Linked DNA regions of Coturnix japonica. The protein of the gene in region 2 purifies or fractionates together with the protein of the main gene of each other region. This does not show direct contact. Links are inferred from orthologs where the notes say so. Each region holds a gene or a part of one and is shown on either strand. Other genes may lie near its edges.

Region 1 (7,329 bases), on a different chromosome or scaffold from region 2:
TAAAGGCAGCCCATGAAGGTGTGTGGGCCTCTGCAGCCCCGTGCTCAGGTCAGTATCAGCACACACCTGCTTTAGGAGGAAGATTAAATCACTTTCCTACATCCATGCCTCGCTTTCCCCTCTAGAGCTCACTGAGGTAACTGACATACCCAGTAGCACTGTGTAAGTGCACGGCTTTTTGTTGTTCAGTGAGCTCTAGAGGGGAAAGCGAGGCATGGACCAGAGCTGGCACATTCTTACCTGGAGGTTCTCAGCATCACTACCAGGCTGCCCTGCAGATCACTCATGAGAACAGGAATCCAGGTAAGCGCAGGTTCTAAAGCAAAGTGCAGATACACTGTTTAACTCTTGGCCTTCACACCGTGGTGCACTGCTGCAGTGTCAGACTCTCCCAGCAGCCTGCTCTTATGCTTGGCACTGCAATTGGTGCTTCATTTTTACACCCAGATGCTGACTGCTCTGTGGTAATGAACACGTAACACTGCTGACTGCTTTCAGCTCCAGACTTACAGGCTTTCTCAAGTCCTGTGAATGGTCTTGTATTGGATAATCAGAAAGTCAACTCTCAATCTTGCTTAGGCTCAAGAATAAAGCAAAATCAGGCACCCATATACTTCAGTATACCCTTTCATCATTTTTACAATAGCTTTTAATGGCTGTACAGAGGTTGTGTTCAATCAGACAGGATGCCTGCAGGATGCAGACTGCACAAACAGTCCCACTTTTCTTCTGTGCTTCCCATTCCAGCAGAAGGCCGAGTGCTTCCACAGCCGCAGTCTTTGGTAAAGCAGCACCTCAGAATCTTTCAGCTGCTCTGCTGGCCACAGCCCGAATATTGCCATAAACTTTGGATGGTGGACTTCCTGCAAGAGAAAGTATCTGTTAGTACGTGTGTTACAGACACGCTGTTCTGCTCTCATGTTTAAATCTGTGTCAGTGTGGGCAATTTGACCCTGGGTGAGACAGATGCTCAAAGCTTCATCTTATTGTGAGCATTGAGTCAGTCCCACTCACGGCACATATAACAGCAACAAGTGGCAACAGGACTCACCTAAAATGAGGTTGCAAATTGCCGTTCGTGCCATTTTAATGTTCTGAAAAGATCCTAAAATATGGATTTTCCTGTAAAAAGGAGTCAAAGCAATATTAGTTAATATAAGAAATGCAGCAATGATGACAGCTGATAAGGATGTCAGTACTTACGAGTCAGCAAGAACGATCCTCGTTCTCGTTACGTTTTCTATAGTGAATTTGGTTTTTCCACCTTTCCCCGCTATTCTCCCTATTGCTCTGGACAGGTGATCTCCCTTCAAAGGTTTGACTAAAACAAGAACAAAGTACTCAATCAATTACGCTGTGCTGCGTATCCTCCGTGACATTTCCTCTATTCAAACAAAGGGAAAAGCAGCAATTAACACATGTTGAAACACATCAGTTTTAGATGCTGCTCTCCTTGTGTCCAGCTCCAGGTTCTCCCCATAGACAGTTATGCCATGTATTGGCATCGGGGTTTTCCTGATCCCCAAAGTGACACACGTGGAAAAGAAGGAAAGAGCAAAGAAGTGCTCAGAAGTGAATGGCTGCTTGAGTAGCACAGCAGAAACTACTCACCATCCGTAACTTCAAATGATTCCAGGAAGAGATCATCTAATCTGATGAGAGCGAGAGCGTCCTGCAACATTCAGAGTCACCATCAGCCTGAGCACTGCAGCACTGTCACACACAAGTTCTTTACAGGCCCAAACAGATCAAATCAGTCACGTATCTCCATTTGACGCATCAAACATCAGTTTTAACTTCAAACATTAAAGAAAACCACCCTGAAGTTTTCTGTTTCTTGATGTCATGTCCAGAGTGCTTGAAGATATTGAGCAATAGCACAACCCGGCCGCTGGGAGACTCACCTCCACCTGGAAGCCGAGTATGAAGGCTTTGACAAAGTCAGCTGCTTTGGTCAGAGCACTGAGGTCTTTGGTCTCAGCACAGGTCTGCAGAACGAGAAGATACGTTTCTATGTTATCAGGCAAACGGAATCAGGACTTGGAAAGTCAGTGAGATAAAGGCTGGCTGTATAAAAGAAAGCCAAAGCCACGTTCGTGTAATGCCACCTCCGCATTGTGTTCTACTGAAAGCGCAGACCAGTAGTGTATGTTGTGCTTAAGACAACAGGCTGCCCAGAGAGCTGTGGGTGCCTTGGAGGTGCCCAAGGCCCGGTTGGGCGGGTTTCAATGAAACACGAGGGATGAGAGGAACGTGAGGACACACAGCACAGCGCTCACCTTGATCTCCACGTTCCTGGTCTTTAAGTTAAACCTGATCTGGAGCTGCAGGTGCTCCACGATGGGCGTGAATATCTTCATCCAGTTCTCCTTCAGCGGCGTGTACCTGTTGGCCGGTACCGGCACCTTCCTCACCTCCCCTTTCCCCACCTGCGGACAGATGGGCGCTGAGCGGACACGTGCAGCCCGTCCGCCCCATCCCTCCGCCTCGGCGCCGCGCTCACCCCCATGGCCGCGGCGGGCAGCGGTGGGAAGGCGGGTCTCTTGCTGGGCTGCGGCCCCGCCGCATCCACCGCCTCCATCGGCTCCGCAGCCGCCGCTCTCCGCTTCCTCCTGCCGCGCTTGGAAGCCACGCTGGTGAAGCCGCTCCCGTTCTCATCCGCTTCAGACTCCATAGCGTGGCCCTCCGCCGGAAAAGCCACCGCCACTTCCTGCCCGTCCCGCCGTCCCTTCCGCTTCCTGCGTTATCCGCGTCGCTGCCGTCGCTCGTTATGTCGGCGGCGGGGCTGGACCGGCCGCAGGTGGTGGTTCACGTGCAGCAGCCGCTGACTTACACCGTGTTCGACTGCAAGTGGGTGCCGCGCAGCGCCCGCCTGCTGTGCCTCGGCAGCGCCCCGCGAGGCACCGGCCTCATCCAGCTGTACGAGCTGCGAGCCGGGCGGCTGCTGCTGCTGAGCGAGGTGAGCGGGGCGATGCGGGGCGGCACCTCGTAGGCCGAGGGGTTTAACGCTTCATACGGTGCCGACCGTGTCCTTTATCTGCAGATCGAAAAGGCCAAACCGATAAAATGTGCCACCTTCGGGGCAGCCTCCCTGCAGCAACGGCACCTGGCGACAGGGGACTTCGCGGGATGCCTCAGCATCTGGTGGGTGTGTGATTCCTTACAGCGCTCCTGGCTACTGAAGGCAACGCTGTGTTATCTGTTTCTCACATAGGAACTTAGAAGCTCCTGAAGTCCCCGTGTACTCCGTGAAAGGTCACAAGGAAATCATTAACTGCATCGATGGGGTCGGAGGCCTCGGAATTGGGGAAGGTGCCCCAGAAATTGTGACAGGCAGCCGGGATGGTGAGTGGGAGAGAGCTGAGCTGCTCAGTGACATCCCTGAACTACAGGCTGTGGGCACCGAAATGGAGGGCGGCCCTTTGGGATGAGCCTCCTCTGCTTCCTTTGGGAGCTGGAGAGGAGGAACATAAAGCAGAACAAATACAAAATAGCAGCTAGACATCTTATACTTTCCCTGTGCTTTTCTGTTTGTATTATGTTTCATTTCTTCCTATACACTGACATAGTCTGGAGGCGTCAGGCTGCCTTTCCCTGGGAAACCAAGAGTGGTGCATCAGTGCATCTGTAACACTGATGGCTTTGCTTTCCTTAGGAACTGTGAAGGTGTGGGACCCTCGGCAGAAGGAAACTCCTGTTGCCAACATGGAACCTGCGCAGGGAGAGAGCAAGAGGGACTGCTGGACGGTGGCCTTTGGTAACCAGTCTGATAACAGCCCCCTGTAATGTCACTGCGTGTTGACAGTAATCAAACCACTGAAGGCAGGGTTTGTTGTTCGGTGTTATCACATCTGTGTCTTTGCACTGTGTTTTAAAGGCTGTCTTTCCATCACGTTTGGTGGTAGTTGGCTCAGGCATTGTTTTCTTACCATCTCTGCTCAATCACTTCACAGACAAGCTTTATTCTTAGGCATTTTTACAGCCCTAGTGTGGGAATTGAACATTTCTATGTCTAGGAATGTAAAAGCAAAGAAACCACTTTGCCCTGGAGGGGTCTAACTGTGATTGTGCATGGAGAACCAATATCTGCTGATGACATTAAGACATTAATGTAAGAGACAATCCCCAGAGCTAACGAAAGACAGCAGAGATGCTTAACTTGTGCTCTTGAATTCAGGATGCTTGAGCCCAGGCCATGTCCATCCCAAACTCTGTGCTCTCAATTCATTAAATCCTACTATATGATGCTTTGCTGGCATAAATCTAAGTTGAAATTGCTGACTTAAGAGGTCTCAAATTTACAGCCTAAGAGGGGTTTCTGTGTTGTGATCAATTCTGTCTCTGTGTCCAGGCAATGCTTACAATCAAGAGGAACGTGTAGTATGTGCTGGATACGACAATGGGGACATTAAGTTGTTTGACTTAAAAGCCATGTCACTGCGATGGGAGACCAACATTAAGAACGGGGTAAGGTGCTGTGGAAGCAGGGCTTCATTCCAGCTGTGGTGTGTGTCTGTTTACAGGCAATCGCGTTATTGCCGAGTTGGTGAAGCTGTTGTAAGAATAACCAATGATTAGATACGTGTCTGCAAATCACACTCACAAATATATGCTTGTAGCAGTGGCTGAACGTATTGGTTTCACTCTTTGCAGGTTTGCAGTGTGGAGTTTGACAGGAAAGATGTGAACATGAACAAGCTGGTGGCCACGTCACTGGAGGGAAAATTCCATGTCTTCGATATGAGGACTCAGCACCCAACTAAAGGTTTTGCTTCTGTTTCAGAGAAGGTAATGGGGAGATGGATCATTCCTTTAGCAACATGTAGTACAGGAGTTTGTACAGAACTTTTGTCCAATGCTGGTTGTTTCCTAGGCACACAAATCCACCATCTGGCAGGTTCGGCACCTCCCGCAGAACAGGGATGTGTTTATGACGAGCGGAGGAGCTGGGAGCCTTCATCTCTGGAAATAGTAAGTGATCACTGTCTGCTCTATAACAGGGGAATAAGGAACCAAAACAACTGTTTATTGTTTAAAGAAAGAATCATTGTAAAGATGGTGCGTGGGGACTCACTTCCAAGCTCAGATATGATGGATATGATGGCTCGCTATTTTGAAGACATTTGTCTTATCTTGAGAACAGAGGAGACCTTTCTGTGCTGTCTTTTAAGAGCAGGATGAGATTCCTGTTTGTCTCAGTTTTCCTTTCCTTTCTGCCAGCGAGTACCCGGCTCAGCGCTCAAAGAAGGACTCGGAAGGAGCTGAGATGGGGGTGGCAGGTTCTGTCAGCCTCTTGCAGAACGTGACTCTGTCAACACAGCCCATTTCCAGCCTGGACTGGAGCCCCGACAAAAAGGGGCTGTGTGTTTGTGGTGCCTTTGACCAAACTGTGAGGGTACTGATAGTTACTAAGCTTAACAAAGTGTGACAGGAAAACTGGGATTGCTGATGAGAAAGCAATACAGTTTGACGTCTGTACATACGGGAGGGAGGGACCTATTGTCTTTAATCTAATTTCTCCCTTTTTAGAACTGGATTAAGGAAATAGAGACCAGATCTTTCTATTGAAAGTTGAGATACATGCACTTAAGAGTTGTTTGATGGTGCTGCAATGACTTGAAAAAGTTTCCAAGGCATAAAAGTTTTACCTTCTGGAAATGGGAATTTACATTAAAGTAAAGCGTGCCTTTCCATTAACACAACCCGTAACTTAAATCACAAGACTTGCTTGTGTTCAGTTTAACCACAGTGCAAATCCATTAATGCTTGTGGAATTGTTTGGCTGTTCTATATGTAGTGATGGCCATGTGCATTCATGCAGTGGAAAATACTACACACTCCCCCATATAAACTCTGTACTTACTGGATACGTGAGTTAGAATGTTGGTTAAAGTGACTGAGAGTTCTTTATTACACTATAGAAGCTACATTGAGTATTAAATATCCAGGTTTAATGGTGTGAAGTTGTTGAAGGTGGAATCCAAATTAAACTCTTGCACAAAATGCACTGTTTTATTCTTTTAGTTTGGTTTTGTAATAAGCTTTTTAAATGTTCTGTTGATTTTTGCATCTGTTTTTAACTTTGTATCCCACAAATAAAATTATTTGGGGCGTTGTTTTGATATGAATGAAGTATCTTATTGGGACACTTTGGCACTTAGAGAAGAAACGCACTCCCAAGAACAGCATGTAGTCCTTGGAAGGTCATCATCTTGCATCAGAAGCTACTACAGCTAATTCCCCTTTTAAAACGTATTCTGATGCTTTGGCAACCTCATAAGGGTTCAGTATTTTTTCAGAGCCAGCTGTGCCCTGCTTCTCAAGCCCAGAGTTCTGTGGAAGTCTGCTTTTAATAGACTGATGCTCAGCTATAGGCTGTCTTCAGATTCAGAGCCTCTTGTATCCTGCATTTGCCAAGAGGCAGTGGAGATGAAAGCGCAGTGACTGAGAGTAGCAAACCAGGAGGTATCTGAAATACGTGACAGCTTTTTGTGGTGGAAGTTTGCTTAAAGAAAGCCAAACAACAAACAACTGAGGTTTGTATATTTAAGGTTTAAGCTGTGATTTGGTTTGAATTTTAAGCAGAGCATCACAGGTGTTAACTGTGTATGGGAAGCCACAATACAGTGTCCTGTTGAAGTGGGTGAATTATCACCTGTTGCCTATTTTTTCCAGAGTTCAGCTATGATATGTCCTCTGTTTATTAATAAAGGCTTTTTTCCTCCTCTTCATTTTTTGTTACCTTCTGTGGAAGCTTTCTGAGTGTTTAGTGAGTATTTTGAGCCTGCGGTGCCATAAAGCCTCAGGTCCCCAGGCAGCCCTGCCACAACAATGAAAAATAACAATAAATTATAAGAACAGTTAATAAAATCAGTTCATTTGCATCTCATGCTAAACCTTTCATCTTCTGAGTCATCAATCTTCCCACAGAGCTGACAGAATTTCTGCTTCATGTTCCTTAGAGCTGTAGCACAAGCAGGCAGGATGGCAGACCCTTTCTGCTGCCTTGCAGACCTGTGGCATCTTCATATCCACCAGTGTTTTCTCTTCCTGACATTCCCATTCTTTTTCTCCCACATCCCGGGAGAATGTATAGCAAACCTAAGAGCAGCTGCATGGGATGAGACCCCTTCCAGCCCCCTTCCCTGCCTCTTTGGGGGATGTGTGCAGGTAAATAAATCTCTCCTCTAAATTGGATGTATTTGCATCCAGCAAATATAGTTTCATATGTAAAGTAACCAGATACAGCATCCAGCACTTCACCACATCCTGTCATTTAATCTAGCTGGCATGGACACAAGCTCTTTTGATCTTTATTATCTCCCTATC
Region 2 (7,344 bases):
ATAACATGCATTGAAAAGACACAAAGTCATGAGCAAATGTCATAGAATCAGAATTACTCAGGTTGGGAAAGACCTCAAAAATCATCAAGTCCAACCGCAGCCTAACCATAGTACCATGACTCTAACAACCCTCTGCTAAATCATATCCCTGAGCACTACATCCAAACGGCTCTTAAACACATCCAGGGATGGCGATTCAACCACCTCCCTGGGGAGCCTATTCCAGTGCTTAACAACCCTTTCTGTAAATAAGGTCCTTTCTCAATCTTTAGAAATTCCTCTTTTGGACAAGATAAGTGAATAAAGTCTTAGCAGCTGTAACTCTGACCATCAGTACGCTATTTCTTGTGATGTTGTGCTGTAAGTCGTCAGATGTCTTATGAGGATGTTATCCCAATGTGGTGTTTGCTCCAGATTAACGCAGTGTTTTGTTTGGAAATATGTAGGTGTACAGATAGAACATGAGATATAAAGTTACCTTTAAAGTTGATGAAACAAGTTTTGGACATTTCTATATTTTTATATATTACAAAGGGCATTTTGAATTTTTTCTTGCAGTTTTAATAATTATTTAGTGTGGTAATATACATACATTGTGACACTGTTTTCTGATATACCCATTACTTCGGTGTAATTCTATTTTATGTAGCAAATGTGTATATACAAAGGAGATTCTGTAAAAATATGATCATGAAATAGGCTCGAGCCCTCTGGAACAGGGACTGTCTTCCTGCATGTCTGCAAAAGCCCTTCATGCTTCGAGGTCCCAGTCACAGCTCCCGTCCGAGACCTGTGGTGAATGAACTGTCAAGAGATGAATGTGGAGGAGCAGCTCTTCTGCTCTCTGGAGAAGCCTTAGCACAAAGGTGCCATGAAGCTCACCTTGCCTCTCCCCAGTGCCAGGGCCATGCCATGTGTGGTTACACTCAACCACTTGCCAGCAGCCCAGAGAGCCTGGGGTCGGTGCGTCCTTTGCTCTGGTCCTTCCCTTTGGCAGTAGAACAAGAAGTCTAAAGTAGGAGCTTTGATGTCATCAGGGAATCTGCCTTCCTAGTGCTCGGGCCTCGTGCAGCATCCCTTGAAGCCAAACAACTAATTCATATCTGCGTCTGGGCCTCCGGGTGTGTTCCTACAAGATTGAGTTCTGCTGACAGCAGCTCTGTTACACCTGAGGACCTGGTTGGTCAAGTTCTTCAGGAATGGTCTAAAAATACTGTAAAAATATAAATATATTTAATTACATGTACTGAAAACAGGAATCCTATTTGCTGTGGTCAGAGTTCAGACTAGTATGTGTGTTTTGATTTCTTAGTCATACCTGCATATATATTGCTTTAACTATTGTGTATGAAAGAGGAAGTGATTCTAAGTGTGTGAAAGATCAGGATTACACCTGTATTTGTAATGGTTGTGTTATTTAGGAGTGGATATCAGTGAACTTAACTCCATATTAATGCAGTTTTTTTGCATTAGAATATGTGTGTATATCATACACCTGCATTTTATATATAATATATTATATATTTGGTACTAACTTTGTATTTTCCCTGAAATTTGCCAAATCTTGAAGACAAATGTTCTCACTTGTAAGACTTTGGTACATAAGAACTGAATGTATATGAAATGCTCTGGTATGAAAGACAGTAATGTTGTACAGTACCCCACAATGTCTCAACCAGCAGGCGTTGCCTTTTTTGCGTGTTACATCTCAATCCACTGCAGCATCACCTTATGTCTCATGAAATATCGTCTGTGTTTTCTATCTAAACCGCAGAGCTGCCCTTACAGTACAGCTGACAACAGTTCTATCACGTGTGCTGGCTGGTAGGAGTAAGAATACAGTAGTCACCAGTGTGCCACAAATGCATTTATTAAATGCAGAAATACGTGTTTCTACAAAAGGCCAAAATCTTACGTTGTATGTTCCTTTCTTGTCATTACATTGTATGATATTGTAAGATTATTGTATGTCCTAATTTGCATTATAAAATGTTTTTTTTTTCCTACTTAAAGGCATAAATATAGCAACTTTGTATAAAGGTAGCTTTCTAGATTTTTATTTCTTTTATATAAAAAGGTCTAAACAGTGAGAGTATCATTGCCAAACTGTTTATAAAACTTCATTTGCCCTGTTGGATGAATTTGTTTTTACAGACATTCCATATTTCTTTGATGAAAATTATACTATGCAGAAAGAGTGTATTTTTATGCCATTCCATGTTAATCTTAAAAAAAAAAAAACACACAAAAAACCCCAACAAACAAAAAACAAACAGNCCCCCCCCCCCCCCCCCTTGTTTGAAGCGATCCTAATTGAGAAAGCTTACCAAATGTTCACCTTTAAAGCTGTATTATGTATTATGATGTTTTCCCCTTTACCAGTGCCAACTTCATTTGGAAAAAAAAATAATAATAATTGTAGCATGGCAATAAACTATTGATTTTACATTGAAAATAACGTGTGGGTTACTTTAATATGTGCTGCTGTTAGTGTGGGTGCATACTGCATTAGTAGCCTGTTTTGCTCTTCTGTAATATCACACAGGATTGTAGGGGTTGGAAGGGACCTCTAGAGATCATTGAGTCCAACACCCCTGCCAAAGCAGGCTCCCTACACCACGTCGCACAGGTAGGTGTCCAGGAGGGTCTTGAATATCTCCAGAGAAGGAGACTGCACCACCTCCCTGGGCAGCCTGTTCCAGTGCTCCGTCACCCTCATATATAAATGTCTAATCTCAACGAGCCCTGTTTCAGTGTACAGCTTAGTAGCTGTACATGCTCTGTGCTCTGTGACAAGTCCCTTTCCTGTATGCCCCCATTGAGGTAATGGCGGGCTGCCCCATCCCGCTCCCTCCCCCCGCCTCGGTGCGGACTGCATCTCCCACAGCGCCGCGCGGCTCCATCCCCGCCGCTTCCTGTGACGGCAATTCCGCCGTGCTGTGGCGCTGTGTGGCGGTGTGTGAGCTCGTCCCGTACCGGAGCCGGCTGTGTGTCCCTCGGCATCATGGTGAGCAACGGACGGCCCCGCACCGCGCCCGCGGAGCTTCCACCCGAGGGGGGGAGAGGGAACGAAGGAGGCGCGGAGCGGCGGGGAGTGGAGTGGAGTGTGGAGGAGGAGGTTGGGCCTGGAAGGTTCCAGAGCGCGCACGAGGCGAGCCCGTTAGGCCGCGGGCGGGTCTATTCAGTATTAATGTACTTGTTATCAAAACCAAGCGTGACACGGGAATGATTTCAGTATTAAAGCCATCTTAGCTTGCTAGTGCTGGGGATTTGTGTTTAGAATACAGTGTTTTGTCAAAGCTCCGGGACTATTCTCTGCTCTCTCTGCTGTAGGCGTCCATTTCTCTCGCTCCCGTCAACATTTTCAAGGCAGGTGCAGATGAAGAGAAAGCAGAAACAGCTCGGTTGGTAAGTTTATTCTCTCAGATAAATGATGCTCTGGGTAATTACAGTCGTTCTTTTACATTTAAATTTACTTTCAATGTGTACTGCTGTAGAGCTTCAGTAGTCTCGTTTTGTCTTTTGTTGTTACAGAAGGTAGAAGTGTTTTGTTCATATCAGCAGTGTTCTTCTTTCAAGGCCATGCTGGATGGGGCCCTGGGCAACCTGATCTAGTAAAGGTGTATGTTTGGTGGCCCTGCCAGGCAGGGGGGTTGGAACTACATGATCCTTGAGGTCCCTTCCAACCCGGGTCATTCTGTGATTCTGTGTATCTCAGCTTAGGAGGTTCTTATTCCTTGGAAGTCTTTTGGCTCTGTTATGTGGTTTTATGCTTACTGCAAAAATTAAGTACGTTACTGAAATGTAGCACTTAAGAAACTTGGAACCAGATTCTTCTGGAAGGAGTTTGCCTGTAGAAGAATTTAGTTAAGATGTCCCCTTGGAAGTTAGAGCCTAGCTCTTACTTACTGTTTTAAAGTAGAAATAAAGAATTTTCTAAGGTGTATTTGTTTTTGTTACAGTCATCCTTTGTTGGTGCAATCGCTATTGGTGACCTGGTCAAGAGCACTCTGGGACCTAAAGGCATGGTAAGATAGCTTCAAGTCCTCAGTGGTCAGACCTGTTCATTTCAGGCTTTAGCCCACGCAAACCTCATGGAGGTTCGTGAGGCCAAGTGCAAGATTCTGCACCTGGGTCAAGGCAATCGCAGACATGAACACAGGCTGGGCAATGACTGGAGCCCTGTGGAGGAGGACTTGGATAGATTGTTGAATGAAAAGCTGAATATGAGCCAGCAATGCATGCTTGTAGTCCAGGAAGCCAACCATGCTCTGGGCTGTATTGAAACAGTTGTAATCAGCAGAGAGAGGGAGGGCATTGTCCCCCCTGTTCTCTCTTAAGAGGACATGCCTGCAATACTCTGGGTTGGGGTGCCTGACACAAGAAAAGCGTGGAGCTATTGGAGTGGGTCCAGTAGAGGACACAGGGATGATGAGAGGGCTGGAGCACCTCTCTTACAGAGACAGGCTGAAGGAGCTTGGCTTGTTGAACCTGGAGAAACAAAGGCTCCAGGGAGACCTCAGTGCAGCCTTCCGGTGTAGAAGCCTACAGGAAAGCTGGGAAGAGTGTGTAGTGATGGGACAAGGTGTAATATTTTTACTCTGAAAGAGGGCAGGTTTAGATTAGTTATAAGGGGGAAATACTTCACTCTGAGGGTAAAGAGGCCCTGGCACAGCTGTCCAGGGAAGCTGTGGATACCCCCATCCCTGGAGCTGTTCAAGGCCAGGTTGGATGGGGCCCTCGGCAGCCTGAGCTGGTGGACAGCGACCAGCCCACAGCAGGAGGTTGAAACTGGATGGTTTTTAAGGTCCCTTCTAACTCGCACCATTGTATGATAATTTAGTTTTAATAGTTACTGTTCTTTTTCAAACTGTTCTATTTCTTGCATCACGTAGGACAAGATTCTCCTCAGTACTGGGAGGGATAGCACGGTGACAGTGACCAATGATGGTGCAACCATCCTGAAAGCTATTGGAGTTGACAACCCAGCTGCCAAGGTCTTGGTTGGTGAGTTTCTAACAGTTTGTCATTGTCATACATGGAATTTCTTCACTTGTAACTTTCTTACGTAGTTTTAACTTCTTCATAGAGAAATATTCTACACAGTGTGAAAAATTGACATATTCTGTGATATTGCTTATCTATACTTGAGAGCATCTGTCTGGCCTTACTTTATTTTGATCATGATCTTTAGGCACACGTTGAGAGGGGGGTGGCTCTTGAATACTGATAGGCTAAAACAGGTCTGTGTTGCAAACGACGATGGGGAATTTGAAGGATGATGTTGTGTTTGATTTGCATCTCAGTTTCAGTCTGAGTTACAGTTTGACAGCCTCTTTGGCAGTGGAATTCTTTTTTCTTCCTTAAAGTCATGTGAGGTACAAATGCTGAAGATAATAGCTGCTAGGGGCGTTCAGTCTGTTTTGAATGCAAGCATTAATGCAGTGCCTTTCTTTTAGATATGTCAAAGGTTCAAGATGATGAAGTTGGTGATGGAACTACGTCTGTCACAGTGTTGGCAGCTGAGTTGCTGAGGGTGATGTATTAACATTTTTAGACGGTTTCATATAGGCTGTGTAGTCCTGGGATGCCAGTAGGAGATGTGTTGTTGATGCTTATGAAGTGGGCTCCCAAAGGATAGGAATACTTTGCCCCGTTGCCATTAAACTGGTAGGAAAAAACCCTTGCATACTGTCTTCATGTATTATTTTAGATATATTTTGATGTAGTCGGTATAATGCATAGACTCACAAGTATTTTGATTTGATACATTTCTTTAAAAAATACTTTCTCCTTATTTTATTTTACAAGTGAAACAAAGTATTCCTGTGTCATAGGCCAGTTTCTGGATTTTGCATTGAGCAGTGCATGCAATGTGAGGCTCCTTTAAAATCCTTTTCCACAGTGTCCAGGAGGGGAAAAACCAGCCTTGTCAATTTCTGTTGTTGTGTGCACATGACCTGAATTTGTAATATTCCTTTTAAACACTGCAGATTGAAGATTACCAAACACTGTGTTTGAAGTCACTATGAAATAGGTCCTAGAACTGAAGAACTCAAGCTGTACTGGGGAATCTAATGGTCATAGTTAGTGGATCTGAGATTAGGAGCATCTGAGAAATGGTGTGTCAGCTTGCTGACTTCCTTGCAAAAGGGACTTTGAGGGTGTTCCTTGCTTTCCTCTGAGCCCCCACTGCACCTTCAGTTACAGGTTTAAATGAACAAGGAACCAATGTGTAACATCAAGTGAGAGTTGGCTGTTTTGATGCATGTGTCTGGTTGCTATTCATATTAGAATTAGTTTTGTTACTTAATTCCAAGGGCAGATCATATTTGCCTGGATTGGAGGGGGGGGGAGTGGAAAGGTGCCTAGGATGTTCTCCCTCTCTCAGGTCTTCACTTCATTTTTATAGTCCTGATGCTTTTGCTGGCATTCAGAATCTTCAGACTACTCCGAAATATCTTTCCTAGTTAATGTAAATGTTCTGTTTAAGAAAGCTAATGATTAATTTTATTCAAATAGGAGGCAGAGTTACTGATTTCAAAGAAGATTCATCCTCAGACCATCATTGCAGGTTGGAGGGCAGCCACAAAAGCTTCGAGAGAGGCACTCTTGAAAGCAGCTGTGGATCATGGGTTAGTAATGTAGAGTTGTGGAAGCTCGTTATAAACTATTTGAGAATGAAACTTACCAATGAGAATTATAGAATGCTGGGGATTTTTTTGCTGTTTGAAAGAAGCAGAATAAATGAATACTTGAGGGGAAGAGACTACTTTTGAGTTTGGTGAACTGTAAAAGCTTTGTAAGACTACTGAAAATTGCTTGTGGTATTCAGAAACAGAAAATGAACAGTAATTCTCTCCATAGGACAAAAGTCTGAGTCGTTATTTCAGATCTCTTGCTCTGATTTTAAGTTTCTTTGAATTCTTTACCTGACTGCACAGGCTTTTCTAAGCAGGTGCAGAGTTTTTGTTGTTAATCAGTTTAAACTATTCTTGTAGTGAAATTACATATCATAGAATACCAGTCCAGTGTTTTAGTACAAATAGTGCAAGGGCAATTAAATATATATATATATATATATTAGATATAGCCTTGATATAGAAAGAAGAAGCACCAATTTCTACTTACTAGTGTAGGTTTAAATGTTGTACCATGTTACATAGCCAAAAATCATGGGTGTCATCTTGACATACAGGTTGCTGATAGTACATGCTAACGTGGTCCCTGATCAAAGTAGCAAAATGCAGGTAATTACTGTAAGGCAGCATTGATGTTGTAAAAGAAATGACAACTAGCAGTTAACAAAGTACCGCTTCAACAAAAATGAGGCTAAATTAATTT

What was found. Proteins that work in one complex are often made in the same cells at the same time.
Region 1: the proteins of CCT2 (region 2) and WDR92 purify together in Homo sapiens (affinity purification with mass spectrometry; 3 studies listed by BioGRID and IntAct, with this or other methods). This does not show direct contact. The link is inferred for Coturnix japonica from reciprocal best matches to the Homo sapiens genes CCT2 and DNAAF10.

Annotation. Positions count from the first base shown.
Region 1 is NC_029518.1:371,669-378,997, forward strand, and holds WDR92 (WD repeat-containing protein 92), read left to right. Parts: upstream 1-2,740; 5' UTR 2,741-2,770; coding exon 2,771-2,959; intron 2,960-3,043; coding exon 3,044-3,144; intron 3,145-3,214; coding exon 3,215-3,345; intron 3,346-3,655; coding exon 3,656-3,757; intron 3,758-4,351; coding exon 4,352-4,467; intron 4,468-4,653; coding exon 4,654-4,788; intron 4,789-4,873; coding exon 4,874-4,971; intron 4,972-5,220; coding exon 5,221-5,428; 3' UTR 5,429-6,731; downstream 6,732-7,329. Other genes in the region: RNA-binding protein PNO1, read right to left, coding at 796-863, 1,052-1,122, 1,204-1,321, 1,612-1,672, 1,905-1,988, 2,280-2,429, 2,504-2,674. UniProt on the Homo sapiens protein: Key assembly factor specifically required for the stability of axonemal dynein heavy chains in cytoplasm.
Region 2 is NC_029516.1:32,199,180-32,206,523, forward strand, and holds the start of CCT2 (T-complex protein 1 subunit beta), read left to right. Parts: upstream 1-2,871; 5' UTR 2,872-3,004; coding exon 3,005-3,007; intron 3,008-3,333; coding exon 3,334-3,408; intron 3,409-3,962; coding exon 3,963-4,028; intron 4,029-4,895; coding exon 4,896-5,007; intron 5,008-5,459; coding exon 5,460-5,536; intron 5,537-6,522; coding exon 6,523-6,635; intron 6,636-7,344. UniProt on the Homo sapiens protein: Component of the chaperonin-containing T-complex (TRiC), a molecular chaperone complex that assists the folding of actin, tubulin and other proteins upon ATP hydrolysis.